Lonchura striata: one gene and its partner. The protein of the gene in region 1 purifies or fractionates together with the protein of each later gene. This does not show direct contact. Links are inferred from orthologs where the notes say so. Each region holds a gene or a part of one and is shown in the gene's direction. Other genes may lie near its edges. The genes, in order: PHF5A and SF3A1.

The links.
Region 2: the proteins of PHF5A (region 1) and SF3A1 purify together in Homo sapiens (affinity purification with mass spectrometry; 3 studies listed by BioGRID and IntAct, with this or other methods). This does not show direct contact. The link is inferred for Lonchura striata from reciprocal best matches to the Homo sapiens genes PHF5A and SF3A1.

Annotation. Positions count from the first base shown.
Region 1 is NC_134607.1:58,398,192-58,405,395, forward strand, and holds the start of PHF5A (PHD finger-like domain-containing protein 5A), read left to right. Parts: upstream 1-4,077; 5' UTR 4,078-4,207; coding exon 4,208-4,259; intron 4,260-5,362; coding exon 5,363-5,386; intron 5,387-6,819; coding exon 6,820-6,986; intron 6,987-7,204. Other genes in the region: ACO2 (aconitate hydratase, mitochondrial), read right to left, coding at 3,822-3,857.
Region 2 is NC_134620.1:2,637,203-2,645,305, forward strand, and holds the start of SF3A1 (splicing factor 3A subunit 1), read left to right. Parts: upstream 1-5,013; 5' UTR 5,014-6,271; coding exon 6,272-6,525; intron 6,526-7,621; coding exon 7,622-7,826; intron 7,827-8,103. Other genes in the region: coiled-coil domain-containing protein 157-like, read right to left, coding at 323-400, 673-1,270, 1,905-2,144; coiled-coil domain-containing protein 157-like, read right to left, coding at 3,208-3,459. UniProt on the Homo sapiens protein: Component of the 17S U2 SnRNP complex of the spliceosome, a large ribonucleoprotein complex that removes introns from transcribed pre-mRNAs.

The DNA of each region.
Region 1 (7,204 bases):
AAAAAAAACCCAAAAAAAACCAAACCCAAAACAACCACCCACACCAATACGAACACCACCCAGCTTCTCATTGTTTAATATACAAACTAGGCAAAGCTGCTCTTTATCTAGTAGCCATGTAACTTTTATGTTTGCTTTGTTCTAGCCTTTTTTTTTTTTTTTTTTTTAACCTCACAAGATATTCCATCTTGTGAAAGTCTTCAACTGCTGGAATGGCTGGAAAAAAAAACACTGAGGTATTTAATCACTGTTCATAGAAAAATAATCTCTTTCCCAGGCTAGGAAATGTATTGTGGTTTAATGTAGTAATTTCTTCCTAATTCATCATAGAGAAGACCAGAGATGCAAATAAAAGTAATAGCACAGGCTTCATAGCATCTTATTCTTGCCTGGGACCAAAGCTGATTAAAACAGAAATCTGAAGTAGGGCACTTCAAAAAGAGGTACAACAAAACTTCTCAAACAAAATATTTTCTGTTTGAACATCCATGTCTATGGGTCTTTTCACTTTATGAAATGGCACAAGGAAATGTAATTTTTTTCTAGTACTATGGCAATGTTCAGCTGGTAATCGCAAGATCAGCAATACAAAGTAATTGAATCCTGCTGACCACAGCTTCACACTACCAGAAGCAGGAAGACAACGTGTTTAAGGTGAAGGACTCTCTTTGGACTTGGAGAAGTCTGGAAAACTGAAGGTCTGTTTCTGTAATGGCCAGTATGACCCACGAAAAATAACTGCCTAAGCCGATCACCTTCAGTAGATTAGACAAGCATTTTTCTCTACATAAGAATTTTAAAAGGCATCTAATTAAAAAGTGCCATCTTCATTTTACCAGGATATAAACCTAATCCCTATTTCTGTTGGGAATTAATTTGATTCAATATGGTTCTTCTCATGTTGGCACCCAGCAAGTCTAAGGATCCACCACCACCCACCACTAAGCAACAAGTATAAACTGCCTGGTTCAAAAGTCTGATCCCTCCTCACAAAGAATCTACACTGTATCACTCATCACACCTGTCTGTTCTCCATGCTTGTCCTTCTCCTATTGCATCCTCAGAAACAGGGTGCAGAGCTGCAAGATTAAGGACAAGTCACAAGCCTGATAGTTCCCAGTTTCATTCCCTTTCACACTTCTCTGAGAGGGAATCTACAAGTGCTTCGCAGGGACTTCCATGTTTTCTCAGTAAGTAGTGAGAAGTGCCTTTAGTCCAAGAGCCAAGAGAAGTAGGCAGCCACCAATCTAAAAATTTTCCTTTTTATCCAGGAACTGACCAAACAGCTGCCAAATGACCTCTTCTCACCTGGCACTGAATCCCTTATTCCAGTTTGCAGTGTCCTTGTTCAAATTTCAGTAAAAGGAATGGCAGTAATCATTACAGGACTCCTAAGCCTATTGGTGTTTCATGAGGTGAAAAACTTCCTTTAAAGACAGAAGAAAGCAAATAAATGGGTCATTATTTCTGAAATCTCTGTGAGGAAGTTAACACTGCTCTTTATAAATTTTAAGGTAGCTGTCATGCATTTAGTTCACTACTGTGAATGTTCCAGGTGCAAGGGGAGTCTGAATTCAGAAAATAACTTGCATTTTGGGAGCCGATACGGCAGACAAGTCCAGCGAGCAAAAGCTCATATTCAAAAGAGTAGCAACTGTGTTATGTACACTTCTGTCTGGGAAATCTGTCCTAGAAATCCCAGCTGAAACCCAAAATACCATCTTTCCTGATCTAAGAACATTGGACAAGCTTCCAACTTTCGCAATGATTCAGCCTAAAAAAAAAAAAAAAGTAGTGTGGTATAATAAAATTGTAAATGCAAGCTCATTTTCTGGACCCACCTCAAAATAGCAACCAAAATTATGGTTCTGAAGATCAGTTTAGCCCTGGCCAACATTTCTGCCAGATACACATAGCGGTCCATGTATAATTTTGGTACTTACCCACAAGCCTTCAATAAACCTGGTATTTCAGGTAGTTTAGAGCTTTACAGTGCTCCCTTTCAGTCAATCTTCAAGCAACATGGCTCAAAAAGTGGAATGCTACTGGAAAGTGTTATTTCAGGTAGGCAGAAAAGAGATCTTGACTCTTTGAGGCTATTAGAACTATACTACAAATAGCACAGTCAGTCCAAATCAGGCTAATTCCAGTTTATTTCTTTCAGAGGCAAGCTTTCTCTGCAGTTCCACTTCCAAAACAGTTCCAGGACAGGAGGCAAGCAGAACCAATAGTAGTAATATGTGCCATGGTCAATACTGGCCCTATCACAGTAATTTACAAGATGATGCTCATATTCATTAACCTCTAGGCTGCTCCACAGGAGCTTCCTAAAGACATCACTTGTTTGATTAACATCACAGATTTAGTCCTTCACAGGGAGGAAATAAATATGGACCCTGAGCCTGATAATAGATGACAACCTCCTGGAATACTAAATTTCCCATACCAACTATGCCAGCATAGCCTTTGTTTTGCATAATACAATATTAATTTTAGCAAATGACTGCTTGTTCTCATGCAATGTCACAGCATAAAACAAGAACCAATTCATTACCCTAATAAAAGATTTGCCTTCATTTTATGAGCAGTCATTTCTGTTCAAAGTACAAACTAAAAACTATTTAAGAACAAGTAACTAAGTAAGAACAAATATACCAACCTAACCAAAATGGTATAATTCTGTAGCTTTCATTTAAATTTAAAAACTACTATATTTTTCTAAAACATCTACCTCTAAAGCAAGACAGCAATAACCTAATAAGCAAACTGTAATTAAGATTCAAAAAATACTTTTAGAATACTAAAAGCCAACCAAATTCTTACTTCAGTTCCCTAGGAAAGGGGAACACATTGGCCAAGGTCAAAAGTGGCAAACTGAGAAGTTCCACTGCCGGCCTTTATCAGAGGGGAGCAAAGGTTTCCTTATCCCTTAGCAGCCCTAAACAGAAAACTGCACCTGGTATTTGCCTTACAGGCTTTAAAAGATATGAAAACTTTATTACTGAGTAGACACTAAACTCAACAAAGTCTTTTCCAAGGAAGGCAATCTCTGGGACAAGATCATATTACTGGCAAAGGTGAGTTTTAGAGGTCATGACAGTCAAGACTGTGAGAGCTTCTACCACAGCCCCAGGAAAAAAGGCAATTTATGTGTCTGACCTGCCTGCTTCTTCAGCTGTCCTAGTTCCCCATACAGAGAGGCTGGCACCTTTGTCACCCAGAAGCCTCTGTTTGTATTAAAAGAAGTATTTTTGAAGCAAAGTAGCCAAAAGACAGCTCACTCACACAATAAGGAGTCACCTTGTGCTCCCGCATGCCCATAGGGGAAGTAATACAAGACGAGGGAAAGAAAAATGCCTGCCCCGGGGAAAGACCTTTTATTTCACCGTTCGGGCCCGCGCCCTCGGGCTCACTGCCCTGTTAGGCCCGAGGCTTTGACAGCGGCTGCAGTCCACCACAGCGGGGTCCGGGCAGACGGGGGAGGCGGCGGCGCCAGGCCGCGTCCCCGCCGCCCCGTTCACCTTGCACTCACCTTGACAGCCGGCCGGGCCCGGTAGCGGGAGCCGTCCTGCACCCGAGCCCGAGCAGCGGCCACGCAGCCGCCGCCAAAGCCGCGGCTGCCCCACCATCGCCATGGAAACAGGGCGTGGGGCCGCAGCGGGGACACGCTGACCTACACGCGGAGGCGGGGACGGCCTGACCCCGAGGCTACGGGCGAGCGGCCGCCCTCGTGGCCGCCCAGCGGGCAGTGATCTTGTCCCTGCCGCAATTCCCTGCGCCCGTCCCGCCCGCTGCCTGCCCCGCCCGCCACCGCCGCTCACCCTGAGCCGAGCCGCCAGCACGCAGTACGGCGCCATTTTGTTCACTGACAAAGATGGAGTCGCGCCGCGATGGCGTCACGCGGCCCCTTTGACATCTCCGGTGCGCGCGCGGGGGCGTGGCCGCGCGGGTCCTGGCAGGGAGACACCCGCGACAGGAGAGGGTCGTCGGCTGCCACGCGGGGCTGCTCGGGGAGGGGGAAGGTTAAAGATGGGGTGGCTTTAGGGGGAGGGTTTATTTCGGCATCCCTCGGCGTTTTCCCGCTCGGGGGAGGCGCTTTGGCAGGCGCTGCGCTCACCCCGGCCAGGACCCGGGGGTGGCGCGGCGGTGAGGGCTCCGCGGGGCCGCAGGAGTAGCAGCAGCAGCGCCGGGCGGGTGTCGCCTCGCCATGGCCAAGCACCACCCGGACCTCATCTTCTGCCGCAAGCAGGCCGGCGTCGGTGGGTCCCGGGGGATGGGAGGATGCGAATGGGGAGCTCCTTCCCCCGTTTTCGGGCCGCGGGGCGAGCGGGAGGCGCGCGCGCCTTACCGGCCGTCGGGCACGCGCGCGGCCGTTAGGCCCGGCGGGGGAGGGGGAGGGGCGGCGCGCCACCCGCTCCTCCCTCCCTCTTTTGTTTTCCTTTTATTTTCCTTTATTTTTGATGCCCCGCCGTGCGTTGTGGATCCAGCAGCACTTGGGAGCATCTTTCTGGCTGCGAGACAAAAGTTCTCTTCCGGGTTATTCCTGCAATACAGATAACGGGGTTTATCCTTGTCGCACCCGAGTCAGCATTTGGGTCAAGGTTCAGAGAACTCTTATACAAGATTAGAAGTTGAGGTATCCCTTCCTGGTTTTTGTCACTCCTTGGAAAAGCACATTTAACGAGCAGCTTTCTGCAAGATCCAGAAACGCAAAGCATTCAGCTGCACATCTCTTTTTAGAATAGTCAGTGCTTCTAACCATTTGTCTATGTTGAAAAGTCACGTCCTGACAAATCCCTTTTCTCTCAGACTTCAGACAAATCAGTATTTAGTCTTCGTTGATGTGCACGTCTAGTCTTTGAAACTCAATATTTATTAAATTTATCCAAGTTCCTAACATTGTTGTGAGTGTCCCAGACAAGTGAGAAGACTTCTCAGGTACATTTAACTACCTTCATGTTCTAAAGCAAAGAAGGTATTTGGATGGCTTGAAACAAACACTTGATTTTGGTTTTTTCCCCCCACTAAAACCAGTGTAAAAGCTGTGACAAGACTCATGTACATTTTCTTCAGTCAGATACACCGGCTGTGTTTGAAATGGAATGATGAATGTAGGTTTTCTTACTGCAGAGGGATATCATTGTGCATGTATAGTGCATCTTGGGTTCTGGTAAATCTCTCCAGGAGGATATATGTTGTTTATCATGAATGTATCTATTTATGCTCAAACTGTTTCTATAGTTTAGCCTTTCATTTTTTTTAAGGACTGCTTATTGCAGAAAATAATAATTTGATATTCAAGCTTGTACTTGCTTAGATTTTTCTCTTGCCTCAAATAATTTTTTTCTTTTTTTATCCCCAGCAATCGGAAGACTCTGTGAAAAATGTAAGTATATCAACCACATTTAGTTGATTGAGAATGTAGTGTTGTGGTTAGAGTGTGTAGTTTGGGTTTGAAGGTTGGATTCTATTTTTGCTTTAACCCCAAACTTAATGTCACCCTTTGAAAAGGGAACAATTACTGTAACATTGCAAGTGTAGCTCAAGGAATACTTAAAAAGTTGCAAGCTCAAACAGACTCTCACACAAATGCAGTTGTAGTGTACCTGCTGCCATCATTTCTAGTGGCTGAGGCTACAGTGGCTGTTTCACTGGATCCTTGTAATCTGTAATACCAAAATATCATCCTGATCATTTTAAAGGAGGGGGAAAAATGCATTTTTGGGTTTTGGCTTCATCATACTGTAAGAAAGGTCTCCATTAGCATCTAGGACAAGAAAAAATGGAGGGCAAATGTCAGAAGTTAGAGCAGGAAAAACACCCATGGAATCAAATGCTTATCTGTGAAAGGGAAGAAAGAGTATGATCTGTTGTTAGATCCTTGTGATCTGTCATTAGATCATTGAGGGGAACAGAACAAATGAGGGAGTAGTTTGTGACTCAAATAAAATAGTGTGAGAATAAGTAAAATGGGAGAAGGAGAGTCTAAAGCAAGAAGCAATTTTCAAGAGCACCTGACAGTGAAACAGATTCCCATTGGTAGTAGCTGAGGGCTGTCACGCCAGAGATTTAAGAGCAGGTTAGGCAAGCTGTTTGTGGGAGTCAGGATTAGATACCTTGGGAACTGGTAATAGGATATGAAGCCTTTCATCCGTAGGTCAGTGTTTTCGTTAAGGTCCAGCTCAGCAGAAGCTGTTACTGGCATCTGATGGCTCCTTGCCTGTATGATATCAGTACTTGAATTTCACTCAGTTCCTTGTGAGAGCGTAAGAGTAACTTTTGTGAAATGGCTGCTTATGCCAGTTTGCCCTTCCTTTGACCTTGTCACAGATGAAGGATTAAAGGGACCATGAGTACAATCTCTTATCTCTTTGAGCATAGTAACTCCAGACTTTTGTTGATTTGTCACTGTGGAGAAGCTTACGCTGCAGTTTCTGTGTAGGTAAGGACTCTAGTTCTGTCATTCTGGCTTTTTTTCTTTGCAAATGAAAGTCAGGAAAAGTTTTAGAGTAAAAGTAGTGGTACAATCTAAGCAAGTCTTGACTAATCACACAGTAGTTATCCAAGTAATTTTGGGTTTCTTCTCTGACAGTGAACAAATTACTAAATTAAAAAAAAAAAACTCAAATATTGTGGGCCATGGCCTTGTTCCTCTCAAGTCTGTGTACAGTACAAAGTTGTGCCCTGTGCCTGCCAAGCACATTTCTGCAGTTCAGCACTTTGAGTGCACAGGGAAGTTATTGGACCAGGAAGCTTTTCCTCTGATGTGGAGGTGGCAGAAAGGACATTCTGTAACCAAAGGCTTTGCTGTGCTGGCAGGTGATGGCAAGTGTGTGATCTGTGACTCCTACGTGCGGCCCTGCACCCTGGTGCGCATCTGTGACGAGTGTAACTATGGCTCCTACCAGGGCCGATGCGTCATCTGTGGGGGGCCCGGAGTGTCCGATGCCTACTACTGCAAGGAGTGCACCATCCAGGAAAAAGATGTAAGTTGCCATCCCAGCTACATAGTAGTTATGCTTACCTTTAAGGGGCTTGGAGCTGCTGTAATTACTACTAGGACAATCTGCACTCATTTGCAATATCTGAAACTTTTATTCCCCTGTTGATAGGTCTCTGTGTTTGCAAAGCATTTTGAGGTATTGCAATGCTCTTCATTCTAAGGATCTCTGACTCTTTTGCACATTCACAGTTCATTTCCTCC
Region 2 (8,103 bases), on another chromosome or scaffold:
GGTGAAATGGGATGGGCTTTAATGTCCCTGCCCGTCCAAACCAGTCTGTGATTCTGTTCAGGGGCACCCCATGCCCTCCACAAGCCCTGGCAAAGGGAGGCAGGTCTGACAGGAGGCCTGTGACCCCCCACCTCCCCAAACCTCCAGCAGCATCAGCCCACTCTGGCACTGGCTGAGTGAAGGAGGCCCATCCTCTGCCCATCCCCTCAGCTCTACAGCCCAGTCTGGGGGTGCAGGGGGCTACACGGGTGTGAAACACTCGTGAGGCCAGGGTGAGGGTGGAGATGTGTGAGCTGGGTGAGTCCCTGCATGAGCCCCTTACCCAGCTCCTGCACAGCCACCTGCTTTGCTGCCAGCTCCTCCTTCAGGGCCCGCAGTTGCTCCTCCAGCAGAGCAGCTCCTAAACCAGTACAAAAACCCTCTCATTAACCAGTTCTTCAAAATAAAACTAAACCAAGGGGCAGCAAACAGCCACACCAAAGAGTTTTCATCCTGATTGTGCTACCAGGGAGGAGGCAATGATAGGACACACAACCAACTCCCACTGCCTGGGATTGGCCTCACAGCAGGGAGAATCCCCCAGCACCTACTAAAAGTCCTGCTGGTTGTGGAGGGGCCAAAATTTGCCCAAAGACTGTTATTCTGCCTGCAAATGCCCCCAGGCCTCTGTACCTCTCCGGAGATCATCCTTGTCCTGCTCCAGCCTGGCCACAGCCTCGGAATGCTCCTTTTCCTTGGCTTTCAGGCCCTGCTCAGCCTTCTTCTGCTGCTCTGCTTGGGTGGCCTTCTCTGCCCGCAGCTTCCTGGAAAAGTCCTCAACCTGTTTCTGCAGCTTGTCCTTCTGTCTGCCCATCTCTTCCAGCTCAGCCTTCACAGGGTTCAGCTGCTGCAGCAGCCCCTGGAGGTGTTTGTTGATCCGGGAGAGGTCCTTGCTCTGCTCCGAGGCCCAGTAGCTCACGTCTGTTGCAGAGAGGTTCCTTCTCCCTGAGCTGTCCTCCAGCGCCTCCTGGAATTTGCTGAGAGCTGAAGGGATGTTCTGGCTCTGGCAGATGCTGGTGATGGCTCTGCCCACCTCGTGGAGGCTGGCCTGGGCGCTGGAGCAGGTGTCACAGGAGCCCAGGGGTGACCCTGGGGTCTGTGTGAGGACACTGCGGGTGCTCTGAGCCAGGCTGGGGCACGCAGGAGTGGACTGGGCAGCCTCTGGGGCAGTTCCTGACTCCAAAACATCTGGAGAGAAGCGTTTCAGGTGCTCCTTCTGGTATTTCCCAGCCTGGGGAGCAGAGGGTGGAGTGGATTGCTGTGTGGGGATCTCCCACCTACAATCCCTCCCCCGAGGGAGAGAGCACAGAATGAAACCAGAGCCCAGATCAAAGTGGAAATGACCCATAAAAGCCTAAATCAGGTGTTGAGATAGGACAGCAATGCAGCCAAAGGGACAGTGACCAAGGGGAAGCCTCAGCAGCAAAACATACTCCCCACCATCCCTTCTTTCCCACCCTCTGCACTGCCTCCTGGTTTTGCCACATGGATTGTTCTGAGACTTTTCCATGAGAAAGATCATGTTGGGGAAAATAAAATGCAGGAGAGGTTGTTTTTACCACCAATTATTTCACTGTCTTGAGACAGCTCAGCTCCACAGTGGGATCAGCAGAGCTGCAGCATTTTGGCAGTAGGAGAATATTTTCCAAGCTCTAGAGGCAGCCCAGCTCACTCATCCCGAGACCCTGGAGCAGGAGGGATGCAGTGGCACAGCTGGGAGGGGCGGAGGGAAGGGACAGATGTGCGACACAGGGGCCAGCACTCAAAGGGTGCGCGGCCACAGGGTGTTGAGAAGGCCCACCACGATCCAAATCCAGAGGGGGAGAGGAGTGACTCAGCTCGTGGGACGTCCCCAGATGTCCCACCTCGTGGCGGAGCTGCTGGCAGAAGGCCCCGAGTTTCAGCATGGTGCTCCAGAAGGTCCGGGCCGTGAGCCCCGCGGACATGCAGGGCCCCGGGCCCCGCGGCGGCGGCACCGCCCGCCCGCTCAGCACCGCGTCCGCGTAGCCGGTGAAGCTCTGCAGCAGCAGCAGCAGCCTGTCCCCACGGGAAAACACACCCTGGAGCTGGCACTGCCAGCTGGGCCAGGGCCGGCCCCCTCCCATCACCAGGCAAAGCCCCGGGGATGCGGGAGGGCGGGATGGGTGCTCCCGGGACTGCCCCGGTGTGGGCAGTTCATGCAGCAGCCACTTCCCAGAAATTGTGATTAAGCTCCCCCCAAAGATTTGGCACTGCAAATCCTGACTTTTAGGGTCAACAGCTCAGTGGGAATGGCTCATCTTTTAAATCAGAGCTGTATTTATTTCACCCAGACTGCAAAAGGGGCTTTGGCCTGCCGGGGCTGTTGATGCAGCTGTTTCCAAAGTTTTGGGAGGTATTTTAATAAGCCTGTCCCATCTGCTCCACCTCTGGCTCTGCTTCTTTGTGGCCAGTGTGTGCTGGGAGCTCTAAGCAGGGAAAGGAGTTGGGTTTTAAACTCAGCAGAGCATGAGGCCAAGGTGCTGGCACTGCCCATCGTGAAGATACATGGGGAACAAAGCATCCAAGACTTCATGAAAACATGGGATATCCTGAGCTGGAGGGGACCCAGGAATCATCCAGTCCAACTCCTGTCCCTGCACAGACACCCCAGCAATCCCACCCTGTGCCTGAGAGCATTGTCCAAAGGCACCTGGAGCTCTGGCAGCCTCGGGGCCCTGATGTGGCACTTGGTGCCATTGATAAGGTGGCATTACATCTTAGGTTGCACTTGATGATCTCCAAGGCCTTTTCCAACCCAGCTGATTCTGTGATTACTCCCTGGGGCACCTGCCTGAGCACCCTCTGGGGGAAGAACCTTTTCCTGATATCCAGTCTAAACCTCCCTGACACAGCTCCAGCCATTCCTTTGAATCCCATCCCCGGTCACAGAGATCAGAGCAGTGCCCCGGGAGGAGCTGCAGCCCCGCTGAGATCTGACCTCAGTCTTCTCTGTTGCAGCTGAACAGACCAAGTGCTCTCATGCCCAGCCCTTCACCACCCTCTCCGCCCTCATCTGGATGCTCTCTAACAGCTTTGTCTGTGCTGAGGTGCCCAAAACCTTTGCTAGGACTTGGATAAGCCCAGCACATCAGACACAAGGTGCCCTTCCCCGCGGGGCAGGAGCCGCTCCGGGCTGCCTGGGGGCTCTCACCTGTCAATGAGCAGCTCCAGCAGCACCACGTGTGCGTGCTGGCTGAACTCGGGCTCGCTGTCGCTGTGCCTGTAGCGCTGCAGCAGCAGCGCTATGTCCAGCTCGCAGGACACCTTGTCGGGGAACTTCCAGGAGGGGAAGCGCACGGCGCCGGCCCGGGAGCACACGTCGGCGATGGCGGCCTGCAGGTCCCGCAGGTCGGCCCGCAGGCTCTCCATGCAGCCGCGGTGGCCCAGGAGGTGCGCCATGGGGCGCGGTGGGCCGGGCACGGGACCGGCGGGACACGGCCGGGGAGCAACGGGGCCACCAGGCCCGGGAGCGATGGGGCCACCAGCCCTACCGGCACAGGCTGCTGGAGCAAACCCGCACGGCACCCCCGGGCCCGGCAGCCTCCAGGAGTGCCGGGGAGCCGGAGGGAACCGGGGGGCTCGGAGGAATCAGCAGCAACCGCGGGGAAGAAGCGCCGGGCCCGGGAGCTGTGCTAGGCCGCGGCGTCCCAGCGCTGTCGCCATGGCAACCACGCCCCTCCCCGCTGCAGTGGTGCATTCTTGCACTGCCCCCCCCGCGCGGGGCGCTAATGGTACATCCCGCAGCGCCCTATCCCCGCCCACATCCCGGCCATCTGCGCCTGCGCTCCCGGTGCGTCACTTCTGGCGCGCACGCGCGGCACAGCGCCCGCCGCCGCCATTTCGCCCCAGTCGGAGCCGGCGCCGCGTCCGCTCCGCACAGAGCCGGGCCCGCTCCGCACAGAGCCGGGCCCGCTCCGCACAGAGCCGCGTCCGCTCCGGACAGAGCCGGGCCCGCTCCGCACAGAGCCGCGTCCGCTCCGCACAGAGCCGGGCCCGCTCCGCACAGAGCCGCGTCCGCTCCGGACAGAGCCGCGTCCGCTCCGGACAGAGCCGCGTCCGCTCCGCACAGAGCCGCGTCCGCTCCGCACAGAGCCGGGCCCGCTCCGGACAGAGCCGGGCCCGCTCCGCACAGAGCCGCGTCCGCTCCGCACAGAGCCGCGTCCGCTCCGCACAGAGCCCCCGGCAGCGCCTCCATCGGCCCCGCCCGGCGCGGAGCCCCCGGCCCCGGCAGCGCCATGCCCGCCGGACCCGTGCAGGCGGTGCCTCCGGCGCAGCCCGCGCCCCCCGCCGAGAGCAAGCCGGTGCGGAGCGGAGGGGAGGGGAGCGGGGAATGGCGCGGAGCTCAGGGCTCTGGCAGTGTGGCCCTCACGGGCCGGGCCGGGCTGGGCTTGGGGGAGCTGCGGCTTCGTCCGGTGCGCGGTGTTGACCCCTGTGCCGCGCTCGGGTGAGAGCCCACCTGCAGAGCTGCCCCAGCCCTGGGCAGGCACAGGAGGGACCTGGAGCTTTGGAGAGAGTCCAGAGGAGGCACCAGAGATGCTGCAAGGGCTGGAGGTCCTCTGCTCTGGAGGCAGGCTGGGAGAGCTGGGGGTGCTCACCTGGAGAGGAGAAGGCTCCAGGGAGAGCTCAGAGCCCTTCCAGGGCCTAAAGGGGCTCCAGGAGAGCTGGAGAGGGACTGGGGACAAGGGATGGAGGGACAGGAGACAGGGAATGGCTCCCACTGCCAGAAAGCAGGGCTGGATGGGATATTGGGAATTAGGAATTGTTCCCTGGGAGGGTGGTGAGGCCCTGGCACAGGGTGCCCAGAGCAGCTGTGGCTGCCCCTGGATCCCTGGCAGTGCCCAAGGCCAGGAGCCTGGGCTAGTGGGAGGTGTCCCTGCCCATGGGCTGGGGTGAAATGAGATGAACTTTAAGGTTGCCTTCCAGCCCAAACCATTCCAGGATTCCTTGGAGACAGCAGGATCCAGCTGGGGCTGGGCAGGAGCTGAGCCCTTCCCTGGCAGTGCCCTAGGGCTGTGGTTCCAGTGAGTTGGGGGGGGGGTTGCCAGGAGCTGTGGGAGCTATCCTGGCTCCAGGAATGATGTGTGGAGGGATTAAAAGCCTGAGGGAGTGTGGCAGTGCTGTGTGTCCCTGTAATCTCCCAGAGCCTTTCTCTCTTGGCCATTTTCATGTTCTTTGCAGCCTTCCTGAGATGGGAATGTTCATTCCTCATGCATTCCTGAGATGAGAATCCAGCTCCCACAGAGCTGAAGCTGCTGTCCTGACTCTCACACAGGAACATCAACACTCTTGGGGCTGACAGGGAGCTGATCTCGCTGAGAACCTTGGAAAATTGTGATTCCCCCCCAGAAAAACCCAGTGGCTTTTATGCACAGTTGTTACCAAGGCAACATAGCAGCATTGTTAAATATCGCTAGTGTAGTGTTGCCCCATCCTTCAGCTCCTCAAGATGATGTTCTGAGGGAGTGGGAATAAAACCTAGAAATGTTCATGGTGCCTTTTTCTTAACACACCTTGTTAAGGTTGTGTTTTATGGGATGGTTTGTTTTGGAAGGGACCTTAAAGCCCATCTCATCCCACCCCCTGCCAGGGCTGGGACACCTTCCATTGTCCCACGTGGCCTTGGGCACTGCCAGGGACCAGTTTGACTTCAGAACATTTTCTGGCTTGGATTTTCTGTGGATTTGACAGAGCTGGGAGCTCTACCTGGATTTTAAATTATCCCTGACTGTAGCCCTGTTAGGATTATAAACATTTCCAGCAGATCTGTCCCAGTTTATAACACCTTTTCTTGGAAGCTGCTTGGTGAGGAAAGAGAAGCAGCATCTTTAGTATCCTGCAAAAGCATCTTATGGTTTTACTGGAATACAGATCCTCCTGTAACATCAGTGAGAAAAACACTCTTGGAGATTTTCTCTTCAAAACACCTTCTGTTGCAGCTACAATGGCATTAAAAGCTGTGTTTTATTTAATGTGGAGTTAATAATTCAGGTCCCACAGGCCCCTAGGAAGATGCAGAACTTCCACAGCTGCTGAGGAATGATGAATTATTCCTGGAAATGTTACTGGAGCCTCTTGGCTCAGCATTTAAAAACATACTTGGGGTCAAGGCTGATACAGTGAAAATTGTTTTGGTTCCCATGGGGGCACCTTCCTTGTCCTGCTGTCTCTGCCCCTGCAGCAGGTGCCCCTGAGAGTCCAAGGAGTTGGTGGGATGGATGATCCAGATTGTTCAAGCAGTTCAGTGGCTGAGAGGCTGAGGAGGAGGATGGATAAAGGTTCCTGTGTGCCATTGTTTGGGATGCCTAATCCTGACTCCCCTTCACCTTTTGCAATGAAACTGTCTTCATTACAGCCAGAAGAGGAGCCTAAAGAGGAAGCAGCACCAGCCAAGCCTGTGGTGGGAATTATTTACCCTCCTCCAGAGGTCAGGAATATTGTGGACAAGACTGCCAGCTTTGTAGCCAGGTAAGTGGCACTGGTGGTGTCTCTTTCCTGGGATTTTCATGCTTCTGCTGTTCAGTGCAGCTCTAGAAGCTGAAGCAGGTCCCAGTTTTGTGGTTTTGCGTGAAGGATTTCAAGGATTGAGGTTGTACCAGTGAGACTGAAAAAGAAGTCTCTTCAGGAGAGGGTGTAAGACACCCTTTGCTAGAGAAACTGGTAGTAAATAAATAAAGTCCTTGTTCAAATGTGCAGTGAGTGCTGCAATAACTAGGTGACCGGGCCTGTTCTGAATGATCTGAAGGGGAAACCAAATATCAGGTGCAAAGGGAGCCCTGGTACAGGAGTCATGGCTGTGTTTTGGTGCTAAAATGTGGTTGGTTTTGGTTCCAGAGAATTACTAAATGCTGCTCCAGTCCAACCCTTATTGTGTTACTCATCTTGAAAGTGCTGCCAAGGAGCGTTGGCTGCTTCTGAGCATATGGGGCTGTGTTTATCCTTTGGGATTGCAGAGAGCTCCTCTTTTGGAGGAGCTGGAATGTGTAAATGAGACTGGGAGTTATCCAGAGAATATGAAGAGGAACACCCTGTGGCAGCTGGGAATTTTCTCCAGCTGCCCTGAAATCACTGGCTCGTGCTTTGGGTGGGAGGAGGGGATTTTACTTGGACTGGGACTCCTAAATGCAGCACTCTGGGCTGGTCAATCCCTGCACAGGCTGATGTTTACCTGCTTTTTTTCATCATATGATCACTCTAGAACTGAAATTAGTCTTGAGAACTTGTTAATAGAGCAGATAAAATGGATGTAGTAAGTAACTTGTAAACTTCATGCTTCATAACTGTAAACTTCAGCCAGTGGTGGAAATGACCTTTGAGTGCAGACAGATGTGGCTGGCGAACACTTGTGAGTGTGAATTTTTAATATTCACATTAAAGGCACAATTAGGGTGACAGTTGCATCTAACTTGTGTGTGTTCAGCTGGTTGTGAGCTACTGAGGGAGAAACTCTGGTCGTGTGAGAGAGAGAATGATCTTCCAAGGGGCTGATGCCTCAGCACATCCTAGTCTGAAAGAGACATTTACCCTTGAGTTGATCTAAACAGCTTTTCTTCTTGCTCCCCAGAAATGGTCCAGAATTTGAAGCCCGAATTCGTCAGAACGAAATAAATAACCCCAAGTTCAACTTCCTGAACCCCAACGACCCTTACCATGCCTACTACCGGCACAAGGTCAGCGAGTTCAAGGAGGGCAAAGCCCAGGAGCCCTCGGCTGCCATCCCCAAGGTCATGCAGCAGCAGCAGAGTGCCCAGCAGCAGCTCCCACAGAAGGTGAGTGTTCCTTTTCATCACTTTGGGGGAGATTTTGGCCACTTTGGGGTGGTGTCACAGCCTGGGGTTGAGAAGGAAGGAAGCTTGAAAGTCAAGAAGGAGCAGTTGGTTGTACATCAGTCAAAATGCCAGCAGTGACAGGCTTGGAGTCAAGTGTCTGGGGCTTTGTTTTGATGCAGATGTGCATCTCCCAGCTGCTGGTAACTCAAAGCTGTTTGAAACTTTTTTAATTGGTCCATTTTAAGTAAGTTTAGCTCTGTATTGACTTACAAAGTAC